3 linked regions of the Saccharomyces cerevisiae S288C genome follow. The main gene of each other region encodes a partner of the protein of the gene in region 3 in a complex. Each region holds a gene or a part of one and is shown on either strand. Other genes may lie near its edges. A codon is read from its position in the direction of its gene.

The links.
Region 1: the proteins of ELP4 (region 3) and ELP6 are in contact, whole or in part, in a crystal structure (PDB 4A8J), measured with the Saccharomyces cerevisiae proteins. Residues at the interface, in NP_015224.1 of Saccharomyces cerevisiae: Val265 (codon at 3,182), Ser266 (codon at 3,185), Leu269 (codon at 3,194), Ser304 (codon at 3,299), Ser305 (codon at 3,302), Ile308 (codon at 3,311), Gly309 (codon at 3,314), His312 (codon at 3,323), Gly313 (codon at 3,326), Arg315 (codon at 3,332), Ser316 (codon at 3,335), Lys319 (codon at 3,344), Lys320 (codon at 3,347), Tyr322 (codon at 3,353), Pro338 (codon at 3,401), Pro339 (codon at 3,404), Val342 (codon at 3,413), Leu343 (codon at 3,416), Asn346 (codon at 3,425), Met347 (codon at 3,428), Thr390 (codon at 3,557), Asp391 (codon at 3,560), Arg392 (codon at 3,563), Gly393 (codon at 3,566), Glu394 (codon at 3,569), Met395 (codon at 3,572), Val397 (codon at 3,578); in NP_014043.1 of Saccharomyces cerevisiae: Ser38 (codon at 1,958), Cys39 (codon at 1,961), Thr40 (codon at 1,964), Gln41 (codon at 1,967), Leu43 (codon at 1,973), Trp44 (codon at 1,976), Phe82 (codon at 2,090), Ile83 (codon at 2,093), His84 (codon at 2,096), Glu85 (codon at 2,099), Asn87 (codon at 2,105), Tyr88 (codon at 2,108), Phe108 (codon at 2,168), Leu109 (codon at 2,171), Ser110 (codon at 2,174), Asp111 (codon at 2,177), Phe112 (codon at 2,180), Ile113 (codon at 2,183), Val114 (codon at 2,186), His118 (codon at 2,198), Gln150 (codon at 2,294), Leu153 (codon at 2,303), Ser156 (codon at 2,312), Leu157 (codon at 2,315), Val158 (codon at 2,318), Ser159 (codon at 2,321), Asn186 (codon at 2,402), Asp188 (codon at 2,408), Ile189 (codon at 2,411), Ile192 (codon at 2,420).
Region 2: the proteins of ELP4 (region 3) and IKI1 are in contact, whole or in part, in a crystal structure (PDB 4A8J), measured with the Saccharomyces cerevisiae proteins. Residues at the interface, in NP_015224.1 of Saccharomyces cerevisiae: Thr115 (codon at 2,732), Thr116 (codon at 2,735), His293 (codon at 3,266), Pro294 (codon at 3,269), Pro299 (codon at 3,284), Phe302 (codon at 3,293), Glu303 (codon at 3,296), Ser304 (codon at 3,299), Ser332 (codon at 3,383), Ile335 (codon at 3,392), Thr337 (codon at 3,398), Leu340 (codon at 3,407), Gln359 (codon at 3,464), Thr362 (codon at 3,473), Glu363 (codon at 3,476), Glu366 (codon at 3,485); in NP_012057.3 of Saccharomyces cerevisiae: Ala2 (codon at 2,749), Ser3 (codon at 2,752), Ser4 (codon at 2,755), Glu115 (codon at 3,088), Thr118 (codon at 3,097), Asn151 (codon at 3,196), Asn152 (codon at 3,199), Asn153 (codon at 3,202), Tyr154 (codon at 3,205), Pro155 (codon at 3,208), Thr159 (codon at 3,220), Leu160 (codon at 3,223), Phe163 (codon at 3,232), Lys209 (codon at 3,370), Ser212 (codon at 3,379), Gly213 (codon at 3,382), Arg214 (codon at 3,385), Ser215 (codon at 3,388), Leu216 (codon at 3,391), Glu217 (codon at 3,394), Tyr218 (codon at 3,397).

What each region holds. Positions count from the first base shown.
Region 1 is NC_001145.3:896,559-901,083, forward strand, and holds ELP6 (Elongator subunit ELP6), read left to right. Parts: upstream 1-1,846; coding exon 1,847-2,668; downstream 2,669-4,525. Other genes in the region: UPA2 (putative methyltransferase), read right to left, coding at 1-111; PP1-complex regulatory subunit GLC8, read right to left, coding at 356-1,045; TGL3 (bifunctional triglyceride lipase/lysophosphatidylethanolamine acyltransferase), read right to left, coding at 2,821-4,525. UniProt on the Saccharomyces cerevisiae protein: Component of the elongator complex which is required for multiple tRNA modifications, including mcm5U (5-methoxycarbonylmethyl uridine), mcm5s2U (5-methoxycarbonylmethyl-2-thiouridine), and ncm5U (5-carbamoylmethyl uridine).
Region 2 is NC_001140.6:478,245-482,948, forward strand, and holds IKI1 (Elongator subunit IKI1), read left to right. Parts: upstream 1-2,745; coding exon 2,746-3,675; downstream 3,676-4,704. Other genes in the region: ubiquitin-binding TORC1 subunit KOG1, read right to left, coding at 1-2,428; GPI-anchor transamidase subunit GPI16, read right to left, coding at 3,761-4,704. UniProt on the Saccharomyces cerevisiae protein: Component of the elongator complex which is required for multiple tRNA modifications, including mcm5U (5-methoxycarbonylmethyl uridine), mcm5s2U (5-methoxycarbonylmethyl-2-thiouridine), and ncm5U (5-carbamoylmethyl uridine).
Region 3 is NC_001148.4:357,820-361,815, forward strand, and holds ELP4 (Elongator subunit ELP4), read left to right. Parts: upstream 1-2,389; coding exon 2,390-3,760; downstream 3,761-3,996. Other genes in the region: FMP30 (N-acetylphosphatidylethanolamine-hydrolyzing phospholipase D), read right to left, coding at 181-1,587. UniProt on the Saccharomyces cerevisiae protein: Component of the elongator complex, a multiprotein complex which is required for multiple tRNA modifications, including mcm5U (5-methoxycarbonylmethyl uridine), mcm5s2U (5-methoxycarbonylmethyl-2-thiouridine), and ncm5U (5-carbamoylmethyl uridine).

The sequences.
Region 1 (4,525 bases), on a different chromosome or scaffold from region 3:
TTGAGAGAGGTTGCGACAGTCCGATACCAATGTCGTGGGGATACAGAGTGAATAATGTCTGGTTTGTGATAGAGGTTTCTCAACCTTTTTGAACTTCCTCGTGCTGCTCATCAAACTAAGTGATACACAGCTTTGTGGTCAGTAGTATATATTCCTGGGACCGGTAGTAGTTGTGAAACAGAGTACTCTCACTTGCCGATCACAGCTCATCGATGGGAAATTTTTCATGTATAAAATAAAGCTTGTTAAAAAATCAGTTCGTTTCGCGTGATAACAAACAGTGCATATTTATGTACCAAGAATCCAAAAAATAAGATATATTTAGTATAGGTAAACGTTATGGAGGTGTCATGTTTCATGGTTCTTTTGTCGTACTATCATCTTCGTCTTCGTCTTCGTCCTTTAGCGCTTCACGGGACTTTTTGTTGAAAATTGCCCTTACGTCGTAATGCTTCTTTCTCATTTCTTCAAATTTCTTATGTCTAGCCTCCGGTGAGTCTTCATCATTCTCGTCGTTGGTCTCAAAATCCGGTTGTTTGTTCTCTTTGATTTCAAATTCCGGTTCGCCCAGGGACAAATCGTCGATGTCATCGTTTGCCACCTGGCATGGTTTTTTATCACTATTATCCTCATCTTCATCATCATCTACTCTGTAGTATTCCCCGTGAGGGTCCACAGCACCTTGGTAGGGGGTCTTGGGCTCGTCTATGTGAATATCTTGGAACTGCTTTTTTGTTATTTCATTTTCTGCTAAATTTCTTTGGTTCCATTGAACTCGCTCTTCTGGTGTCATCTTGGCCAACATGTCTTGCTCATGTTTCAGTGACAGTGTGTCCTTTGGAAGGAAGGTACTCGATGTTCCAATTATCTCCCCCTCCTCTTTTGTATTATCTAGTCCCGGTATATTCCTTTTATGTGATGTCAATTTGGCATTTTTCTGCGTATTTTCGTAAACTTGTCTTCTAAACTCTTCAAGCGTTTCTGGATCCTGTTGCGCCAGCTGCTCCGGCGATAAGGCTAGCGGGTTTTTAAGTATACCTCCCATTATTCTGCTGATGTGCGTTCTTGATGATACGAACTCGTTGTACTGATGAAGCTCTTGGACTTTAAGTTGTAGTGGTGTTCTCAAATTATCCTTTCGGTGGAAGTCATTTCTCCCTAAAAAAGCGTGAGGGCAAAACTTGAAACCGGGTAAGAATATGCGATAGTACCGTTTTGCCTCTAAAGACAGTGCTTCAGAGAAATATTAGCAAGGTGTCGAATCAAGTTATACTAGATAGGAGGATTTCATAATGAATAATGCTTTAAAATGGTTCTCACCTTTATTTTATCATTTTCTTCTTTTCTTCTGCTATTGATTTGGTAGTGTTCGGGTTAATTCATTTTTTTGTTCAATAACAAGAACCAAACATAAAAAAAAATACTTTAAGAATAAACAAGACTGATGAAGCATAGATCATATTATTAGAGCGCGTAAGGTATGTAGAGCACAGATTGGTCCTTCGAGTGTGATTATATAATTTTATATACGCTCCTTAATTTAAAAGCGGCTTAGATAGATTTTTTATACTTTGCTGTTGGAAAATTCCTGCTGAAGCAAAAGAATTTGCAATTCGTTCTTAGCCTTTAACCCCAATTTTAAGGCTGAAGCCGTGGCTTATATCATGGGCTTTGTTTATCCAACTTTTCACATCTATAGTACGCTATCTTTGCATCTCTTAGGCATGAATTGATAGGCGATGAGCAGAATGAAAAATGAAAAAAAAATAAAAGTACTAAATTGAGGCTAGTAGAAGTTAGGCAAAAACCGTCCAGAACCTCCACAAAAATAACTAAATACACATTTATGGGTAGTGTTCAACGACAAGATTTGGTCCTATTCAGCGACCAATCAGTGCTTCCTGCCCACTTTTTCCAAGACAGCAACTCTCATAACTTATTCTTCATCACCCATCAATCCTGTACTCAACCACTATGGATGATAAACGCACTAGTAGAAACGCACGTGTTAGGTTCCCCAAGTTCCCTTAATGAATCTTCTTCATCGATGCTACCTTCGTCAACTCGCTCCCATGCAGTCCTTGCGTCGTTTATCCACGAACAGAACTATTTTACAAATTCATTAAACAAGCTAAAGATCCCATCTAATAACTACAATGTTTTAGACTTCCTGTCCGACTTCATCGTTAATAATATCCATAATAAGCCAAGAGACAAAATACTAAGTGACGTACTCGCAAAGTTCTCCGCTGCTATACAAAATAACCCAACTGACACCATTGTTATCATCGAACAACCAGAATTACTGTTGTCGCTAGTAAGCGGCCTAACTTGTTCAGAATTAAACAATAAGTTCATCACACCTCTTTTGAGGCAATGCAAAGTGCTAATCATTGTTTCCAATTCGGACATATTTAATATAGATGAATACGATGCTTCTGTTCATTCCTCGAATCTGCAAAATTTCTACAAATCTTCCTTTATCAAATCAATGATTAATTTGAACTTGAATCCTCTGAAGACCGGTTTTGCAAAGGACGTAACCGGCTCATTGCACGTTTGCAGGGGCGGCGCACCCATTGCAACTTCAAACACAAGCCTACACGTCGTTGAAAATGAATACCTATATCTGAATGAGAAGGAGTCAACAAAACTATTTTATCGCTAAATAATGATAAGATTATATACGAGGCACATTGATTCTCGTATTATTGTTTTTTCTATGAACTGAATATATTTTTAAGTACAATATCAATGAAAAATATATGCAATCGAGCTCTATCAATAAAAAAAATAAGACAGAAAAAAGTGGAAACGATACTACCTACTCCGTCTTGCTCTTATTATGTCGTCTAATTTAAATTCGACTGCACATCTTGTCTTAATTAAAGCTAGTGCGGGCCATGTACTTCGTTCACCAGATTTTATCCAGTATGGAATGTTGTTTAGTTGACCTTCAATAATCCTTGTTAATGATAGACTTTTCATCCTTGGTACCACAGCAATCTCCGTAGCTGATCTGGGAGTCTTTTCATCAATTATTAGTCTTTTTATTAATGAGCACAACAGGCCTAAATTATCCAATACCTCCATCCTATGTCGAAATTCCATAGTGGCAATATTTTTTAATTTTCTTTCCAGATGATACTTAAATTTAAACGCCAGCGGTTCCATTTCAGTAAAGTTCAACTGCGGTATGCCCAATTCTGGGATTATGTACTCTGCTGAATCGTTGACTGCCGAACTTGGGGGCACAGGGCTCATTAAAGGCTCTGGCTCAAGATCCTCGACAGTTCCTGCCTTTATGGGTGATTGCGAAGAGGATCTCTGTGTTTTTCTTACTGTATTCGCGTTTATAGGAGGCATATTTGGATAATGCTTATAATAGTAATATTTTGACGTTTTTATTTCATGCTTCAAATCATTTACCACCAATGGTGCCAAGTATGGTCTCGCCAAAGAAACAATGAAGTTATTAACATTGAATAGTTCCGTTAACCTAGTATAGGGGCTCTCCGTTATGCTCGGATTGTTGGCATTTTCTGGGGTAAGAAATTTGACTTGTTTATTTTTATTGATGTTAAGAAAAGGCTCAATTTCATTTTCTAAATTTTTACATAATAGTGATGTATCCTCTGAAATTACACCAGAACCAAGTGAGCATTCAATGGCTGACTTGATTAATACGTTTGGGGTTGTCACATAATTTAGTAAATTAGGGCATGATTTATCAGTTGGATGAATAACAATATTGAAAACTTTTCCAGTAATTTGATAAACTTCTTCAAAAGTTTTTTCCTTAACAATATATTTCATAACAAACCGGATAAAAAGATAAACGTCTTGAGAATAACCGTGGTGTATTAGGTTCTGAATCAAAGTCCCCAGGTTTAGGTGCTGCTCTAAATTACCGTATCCACAGCTTTTTAATAAATCTACATCATTCTTGATGATATTCAAGAGGTTGTCATCGGTCAATAATTGCTTTAGTTGCTCATTGGACAAGCAACCGAATAAACTTGCAACGCATGCCCCCATAGAGCTACCACTTATAATATTAGGCATCAGGTCCTGTAACAATAAACCTCTAATCACCCCAAGGTGAAACAGCCCAAACAATGAACCACCTTGCAAGATTAATGCTGTTGTGCCCAGTGACAACTTACATCTTTGGAAAAAGGATGTTGGAGTTAAAGTTTGATTATTTAATATATCCAAGCCTTCTAGAATTCGGGTCAAATATTGTTCAATAAGTAGCTTTGTACCCATCAAAGATTTTGTGAACAACTTTTTATCTCCAATACCCGCAAAGTTCCTCAACATACAAGGGCCTGTAGTCGAAAACTTCTCCTTAACTACATCATACTTCTCCTCCCTTAACATATTTTCCAATATGCTATATTGTTCAATGACAGAATTGAAGTCGTACCTCCTCGAAAAGAAATTCCGCCGCCATAAATTTGCGCCTGTTATTTCATCCACTACGGACGCTTGCTGACACCACATTTGATACGTATCACACTCA
Region 2 (4,704 bases), on a different chromosome or scaffold from region 3:
ATATGAAATGCTTCAATGCAAATATAGAAGCTGTTCTAACTTCAGGTACAGGGTCCTTCAAAGATTTTAGTAATATTTCAACAGCACCAGTATTCATACATACAAACCTGTTTAAGGGGTTATCAGCAAACAATAAACCTAATAAAATAACACACCACTGTCTTAGTAGGGGTATCTCAGAATTATCAATATAAAAGCACAACTTGTTGACCAGTTCCAAACTAAAACAATTTTTTTGCCCCAGAGGAAAGTTTCGAACGAATGATGCCAAAACAAAGACAGCCATAGCTTTTTGTTCATCGGTGGTATCATTAGAATGATAAAATGGAAGATTATTGTGGCCCAAGTTGGATGTTCTATTTCCTTGCTGGCGTTCATAATATCTTGAAGATGGACCATTTATATTCTGCGATGCAGTCATTGTCAACGGGTTCCCACTATTTATCATGGCTGAGCCATTTGTAGCTGACATGCCATTAACACCCCAATCAGGTACTAACACTGTAACAAAATACATATAACCCTTTTCTTTGATTAATTCACTTTGCGTGTTTTTGTAATCTATTGACATGATACGGGCCCAAATAAAAACTAGGATGGGCTTCAACTCAGGTGCTGGACTTTGTAGCAGCTTCAAAACGTAGGGGAAGATACCTATTGAAAGTGACAGGTAGACAGCCCACGGGCCTAAATCTAAAAATCTGGATAAAAGTACCAACGCACGTATACGATGCACTTGCGAAAGAAGAACCTGTAAAACGATAGGAAGCTGCTCAGGCGGGTGTCTGACATTTGAAGCATATTTCAACCACAATTCAAAAGCAGTCAAATTTTGTTCAAAAAATCCTGTAAATTGTTGTTGTTGTTGTTGCTGCTGCTGTAATTGTTGCTGTGAGCTTTGCAAAGATATAGATTTTCTTGATTGGAGAGCAGGGTTATTTACTAGAGACATTGTACTTAAATTGGCCACTGCAAATCTCGATTGTGTTTGAATACTTCCGGCTTTCGTATCTTGGGCATTCGACTTAGAGCTGCCACCATTCTGTAAGGTTTCTTGTTGTTGTAGAATCATCTGACTCTCTAAGGCAGTAGCGGGAGGAGCATTTTTCAGATCAATGACTATTTTAGTCAGTACTTCATCCATGGCTAAATCCCAAGATTTCCACATTGGATGTGTGGTTATACTATCTGGTAATTCTGGATCAGATACAGGATGGCAATTGTACCACGGCATTATTCTTTTGGCTAGAAGAAAATTTCTGAAAAGCGCAGCAATCATTAAATCATGTCTGAATAATTTTTTGAAAAGTGGTCGGGGGAGGGATGTCCATGCAATTGTGTCCGTTATAGCTGTAAAAATCCAATTTAGTTCTCCCAACGGCGTTCTCCTATCCGACAACATTCCAGGGATATTGACGTTGGGTATTTTGGACTTGAACGAGTTCTTACTATCACCAAACGGTTGATTTGAAGTACTATTTTCGAAGAAAATTTTATATTTAGAATCTTTTAAGGGTGACTGCATGAGAAAGATACGGATGCTAATCTCTATTGGACAGGTCAAACAACAACTAAACAAATCTGCGGGTAGTTCCGGACTCATAAGTAAAAGTTCATCGGAAGTGCAAGAGGCTAATTGGAAACAATCTTGATAAGCTGAAGTTGGTGATGGCGCGGCAACATCATGATTTCCCTCTTCATCATCTTTAATCCTCTTTTGCACAAACTTCTGAAAGTTGATTAATATATTTTCAGCACTGTTGCAATCATAGACAAATATACATGGCGCACCTAACCAAGTTTGCAGGTCATACAAAGATACCGGAATATATTGTGTATAACCTCTGTTGAAAACCCAAATTTCACCTGATTTTGTAGGCTTAGGCACACCATGTCCGTTGTAGTGGAAAAGTATCCTATCTTCCTTAGAAGTTCTTCTTAGCGAGTTGCAAAACCGTTTGACATCCTCTACACAAGGATCCAAGCTTTGTTTATAGCGTGTTCTCAAAGACAGAGTTTCGTACTGTGCTTGTAAGTTTTTACCAATTTGTTCTATTGCTTTCTTCGAGTCCTGGAAATTCAATGGGTCTACCCATGCTTCAACTCTGGCACAGGGATGTGTCTTCATAACATCAGGGGGATCGACACCTAAATTCAAGCATAATAAAAGGGCCGCACTTACTGTCTTCTGTCGATCTTTCATAATCTTCCAATCGGTAATCGGCTGGTAATAACGATTTACATCTCGTTGTTTATCCTCTTCAGGAATCGGATTTCCATTAGTTTTGTGTCGTTTATCATCAAAGTAGAATATGAAATCATTCGCGAGTGATTGTAAAAGTTGGTCACTTTGGTATTGCTCTTCAAACCCATGTCTCATCACCGTATTGAGTGGCTTTAATGGCTGAGGTCCATAAATCTCCGGCATTATGTATCTTTTACCCTTCTCTGCATGCAATAGGATTCGCTAAATGTAATCAAAGGAATCTACAAACCAAATGCATTCGAAAATAACTTTACAAGTTTTAAAATCCTCTATATACTTATGTAAAGTACTACCTATTGATGATTTATTAAAGTATTTTTGATACTATTAATGCTGCCTTGATTATCATCTCATAGTGCGGGTCACCTTGAAAAATCCAAATATAAGAAGCGATGCCATTATAACCTCTGGAGAATGATAACTTAAGAGCTTTTTAATAGCTCCAACCCAAGCTATTGCTACAGGTAGAACAAGATATAATGGCCAGTTCGTCACATAACCCTGTCATTCTTTTGAAAAGAATCTTATCGCTCACAGAAAGCTCCCCTTTCATTTTGTGCTTAGATTCTATTGCCCAGACCTCATACAAGCTCATCCAAGAATTCGTCCACCAGAGCAAGAGTAAAGGAAATGAGTATCCAATTGTGTACATTTCGTTCGAAACAGTGAATAAACCATCGTACTGTACTCAATTTATTGACGCTACGCAGATGGATTTTGTACATTTAGTGAAACAAATTATATCATATCTACCGGCTGCTACTGCCACACAGGCAAAAAAGCACATGGTCATTATCGATTCATTGAACTATATTTCTACAGAATACATAACAAGGTTTTTGTCTGAGATCGCCTCTCCTCACTGCACGATGGTTGCGACTTATCATAAAGACATCAAAGATGAGAACCGTACGGTAATACCTGATTGGAATAACAATTATCCTGATAAGTTGACTTTACTGCAGTTTATGGCCACTACAATAGTAGATATTGATGTGGTATTAACAGGCACTCTCGATACTGAGGAGGTGAGTGAATTGTTAAACGAATTTAGAATTCCTCGCGGGTTAAATAACGATATATTTCAATTACGACTTGTTAATAAAAGAAAGTCCGGCAGGTCATTGGAATACGACTTCATAGTAAATTCAAACACCCACGAATATGAATTATTATCAACCACTAAGCAAGAAGAGGAGAGCAGTAGTAACGGACTGGAGACACCCGAAATGTTGCAAGGATTAACAACATTCAACCTAGGAACATCCAACAAACAGAAGCTGGCCAAAGATCAAGTCGCATTGCCTTTTCTGGAGGCACAAAGCTTTGGACAAGGGGGTGCTATTGTTTATGAGTACGAAAAGGATGACGATTATGATGAAGAGGATCCATATGAGGATCCCTTTTAAAAAGTAGAAACTGATGGTAAATAGTGAGTGCTTCCAGATTATGTAAACTACGTATACTTCATACACATATCTAGATGCTAGATTGTTAGTCTGTTTTAGTCTTTTTTTTCCCTAGGAACTTTTCCTTTAGCTTTAGCAATTTGTATTTTAAGCCAGATTGCAACGTAATCTTATCGGCCTCTTCGACGGTGACCATTCTCTTCACCATCAAATTGTATAGCATACCGAATATGAGTCCCATGATTGTAGATGTTAGAATGATGACGTTATACGGCATACTAAAATCCGGTGTAGACAGGGATAACAATAGGGTAGAGGTTCTCATTTCATAAAGAGACGATGAGGACTCCAAAGATAGCACGGTGATTACAGCTGCATCGATTTCAAAACCATGGTTTGCATCTGGTGGATACTCGGCAAATTGCAGAAGAGCTTTATCGAATTGATAAGTCATTACAATGTCCGTATTAGCTGGAATTAACATCGTGAACTCCAAGTGGCCAGGTCTTTTTCTATCGGCCGCTTGTAAATAGTATTTATCTAAGATGATATCGTTTTCTTGCAATTGCGGAGAGGTAGTAGAAGTAATTTGAAGAGAGGATAGGTAAACTCTCATGAACCATGGCAATGATTCGAAATAAATCAACTTCACAGGGGTATCATTGTCGTTATGGAAAACAATACGCATTCCACCACGATCTTGTCCATTACCAGTCAGAGATCTGCTTACGTGAATTGGGACAGGAACTATGGGAGTAACTTTAGTAGTGTCCGTCGATTCTAAAATAAAGTCGTAGCCCGAACCACCCTCATTTTGATCGTTTGATAAGTCAAAGCAATTATCATGTGTGCTGAAAATAGTATCGTCAACTGACAAAAACGCAGTCCAGGTAGAACGGTCAACTTCTGCACAAATTCTTGTGGGCCTATTAGCAAACAGGTTGCCATTGTTTATTGGTCTGGCAAACAGCTGAGACAGCTTGAAGTGAGTCTGCGAAGGTTCCGGTAGAGGGAAGCATTGGTAAGAAT
Region 3 (3,996 bases):
TTTTTATCAACATTAATTGTAATTTCTTTATAACATCTTATTGGATATCATACGAATGTTTTTAAATTACAAAATCATTAAATCATAAAATGTTCAGTGAGTACAATCTCCCAAAGTCTACGTTTACTGTAATTTATCGCTATTTACAGGGACGCTGCAGCTTAAATATTAGCGCCTAAGTTAGTCGAAGCATTCTGTCTTGCCCAATTCTGGACAGTAGCAGCGGTCTTTAAACCCACCCCACTCGGCCAACATTTCTAATTTTTCCTTTGGCTCTAAGAAATATTCTCCGCTTAATACAAAGGTCCCCCAATGAACGCCTAATACATTTCGAGCTTCTAGATCTTTCATAATCTTGAGAACCTCTTGAGGATTAATATGTCGTGGTTTTTGGTGCCACTCAGGGCAATACTGACCACATGGAAGCAGCGCTAATTTACAACCTTTGCCAAAGCGTTCTTTAATTCTAACGAATAAATCTTTCACATATCCAGTGTCACCAGCATGAAAAAGTATGGGATTACCATGGTGTGTTAATAAAAAGGAGCACCATAGAGACTTGTTCGTATCTAAGAGCGATCTCCCAGACCAATGCATGGCAGGAGTAGCCGATATGTGGTATATCTCATTGTTTTTCTTTACTTGCAAAGTTTCCCACCAAGATAATTCTAGGACATTATCACAGCCGTTACTTGTCATATAAGATTTCATTCCTTTAGGTACTATCCATAAGGGAGAGTCTTTGCCACTCCAGTATTCCAAGCTTTCTAAATCCAGGTGATCGGGGTGATTATGGGATACAAGGATGATATCTGGTTTGGGCACCTCTGTAATTTGAGATGGCATTTGAGTAATTCTTTTAGGACCCAGGGTCTTGTGGATAAGAAAGTCACTGAACAGAGGATCAGTAAGTATCCTCAATCCATTATAAACCGTGTAGTTACAGGACTGGCCCAGCCATGTGTTATAGACTGGGCACTTTGATCCTTCATTTTCTTCTACTGCAGTCGGTATGTGCAATTCGTCTAACACTTTGCATTCTAGCGGCAATGCCGTTTCCTCTGCGGGGTCGACGTCCACTAAGTTAGGCCCCCATGTTGGCTTGTGTACAGGCATTAACTTATTCATTTGGTGTACATCACGTGGAATACCTCCCCTATTTCTTTCAAATAATTCGAACACTCTATTTGCAAAGAATTCAAAAACGGTCTGAATCCTGTATTCTTCGAACGGGTTCTCAAATCTGCCTAAAACTTCCAAAGGGCTATATTTTAGCAAGGATCCCTTATAAGTGACCTCGTTATTATTCTCCTCTAATCTTTGACACATTTCGTTTCTTAAATCAATTTGCTTCACTGTAGCCAATGATACATAAAACGCATATCCTGTGTAAGGTACCAAAACAGACAACAGAAGTATACGTGCGTATTTTCTCGAGCATTTTTGTATAGGGCGTGTCTTTTGCGAAGCATGTCTTTTGAAAGTTGACAATGATGTCTGGGGTCTAAACAGCTCTGATTCTCGTAAACGCACTAGTCTCCTTTGGAGAAGAAGCCTCATCTGAACATGGCAGGTAACAAAATTCATTTGCAACACAAGCAGGCATGCAATCCTTCAGTAATTGGAGTGCTACTGTTCACACCATATTCTCGCTATTCTCGAACTACGTTTTTTTTTTTTTGTTAAGCATCAGTAGTGAGTCTTCGGGAACTGCTTAACGACAGTAAAGGAAAAAAAAAACTAGCAGCTGTTGATAATATTCAGAAAATGAACGCAGAAGGAATCATTAGCTAAAAAGTTTATTATTAAAATCAGACATATATCTCATTATAATATTTTTTTTTTATAATACCACCATTTGTTCTCATATAATACTGATAAATATCGCATCGAATGGAAAAGACAAATAGGAGGCCGCTATTGTAATTTGGGCCTTAACCTATTTATTCTCTCTCTTTTAATTGATATTTTAATCTTTTTGAAGCCTACAATGTATTTTGGGCGATAATCAAGGAGAATATCAGTGTCATATACTCACTGTGGTAAATGTATTTCTAAAGTAGTTCCAATTCTTTCTTCAAAAAAGGCCACTAGACGATGTGCTTTCTTGCACAAGCATTTTGCTGGGCTATCTTCAATAGTGATAATTCTAACTAACTCAAAACCAGATGGCAAGTTCTTCCCTATGGTCGACTTCTCTCAGACGCAATAGTAGCTATGTTATTGATGGCTTTTGACGCCAGACCGGGTAAAGCGCATGGAATGAACTCTAAACTGTTAAAATAACAAAAACGACATATGAAGATGTCGATGAGGCTGGATAGTTTAGAGATGAGGTGCAGAGAACAACATTGTATAACAAATTCGGCTCCCAAATATCGCATGTACCATGTCATTTCGTAAAAGAGGTGAAATACTGAACGATAGAGGTAGCGGGCTAAGAGGTCCACTGTTAAGAGGTCCTCCACGAACTTCCTCAACGCCATTGAGGACAGGCAACAGAAGAGCCCCTGGAAATGTGCCCTTGTCTGACACTACAGCGAGATTAAAGAAGTTGAATATTGCGGACGAATCCAAGACAAAAATGGGGCTGGATAGCTCCCATGTGGGCGTTAGACCTTCTCCTGCAACCTCTCAGCCGACGACATCAACTGGGAGTGCTGACCTGGACAGTATACTAGGCCATATGGGGCTGCCGCTGGGAAACTCTGTACTAGTAGAGGAGCAGAGCACGACAGAATTTCACTCTATTCTCGGTAAACTGTTTGCCGCACAGGGTATCGTTCATAATAGAATTTCAGATAGCAGTGCTGATAAAACTAGAAACGGCGACACTCATGTCATTGTCTTGTCATTGAACCAAATGTTTGCAAAGGAGCTACCTGGTATCTACAAGGGATCACGTAAACAAATGAAGAAAAACCTAATCTCTGAAGAAGAATCAAAAGTTACTGTTCAAAATTTGAACGAGACCCAGAGATCGACGCCTTCCAGGTACAAAGACCTGAAAATTGCATGGAAATATAAACTGGCAGATGAAAAGAGATTGGGTTCTCCGGATCGAGATGACATCCAACAAAATTCTGAGTACAAGGACTACAATCATCAGTTTGATATTACAACGCGTCTGATGCCCGCTCCCATAGCATCTGAACTGACATTTATCGCCCCAACTCAACCTGTCTCCACTATTTTGAGCCAAATAGAACAGACTATTAAAAGGAATGACAAGAAACTGATAAGAATTGTTATTCCTTCCCTTCTACATCCGGCAATGTATCCGCCCAAAATGTTTGAATCATCTGAAATAATAGGTTTAATGCACGGTGTGAGGAGTCTTGTCAAGAAATACTATGAGCGGGTTGTACTGTTTGCTTCCATATCCATAGACATTATCACTCCCCCATTACTGGTATTGCTGAGAAACATGTTCGATTCTGTTATCAATCTAGAACCCTTTAACCAGGAGATGACTGAGTTCTTAGAACGTGTTTATAAATCGCAACCGGGGAAGATTCAACATGGGCTAGTCCACATATTGAAATTACCAGTTTTCACGGACCGTGGAGAGATGAGAGTTTTAAAGTCTGAATGGGCATTTAAGAATGGCAGAAAAAAGTTTGAAATAGAACAATGGGGCATACCCGTGGATGATGCTGAAGGTTCAGCTGCCTCGGAACAGTCACATTCACACTCGCACTCGGATGAAATCTCACATAATATACCTGCAAAGAAGACCAAGATATCTTTAGACTATTAAGAATATGGTTCAATTTATGGGAAATATACGGCATGCTTTTTAACAAGCGTGGTGAATGTATTATTTTTTTATCTGTTATATCTTAAATACGACTATTATATATATATCCATCGTCTTTTTCCTGACTCTAAGCGGTGGCAGCTGGAAGGTAGAAAAAGGTATCGCCTAGATGTCAAAATATGAAAAAGTGAAATGAATATTAACAAAAAAGGAGCGTGAGCTGCAGAAAGAATTTG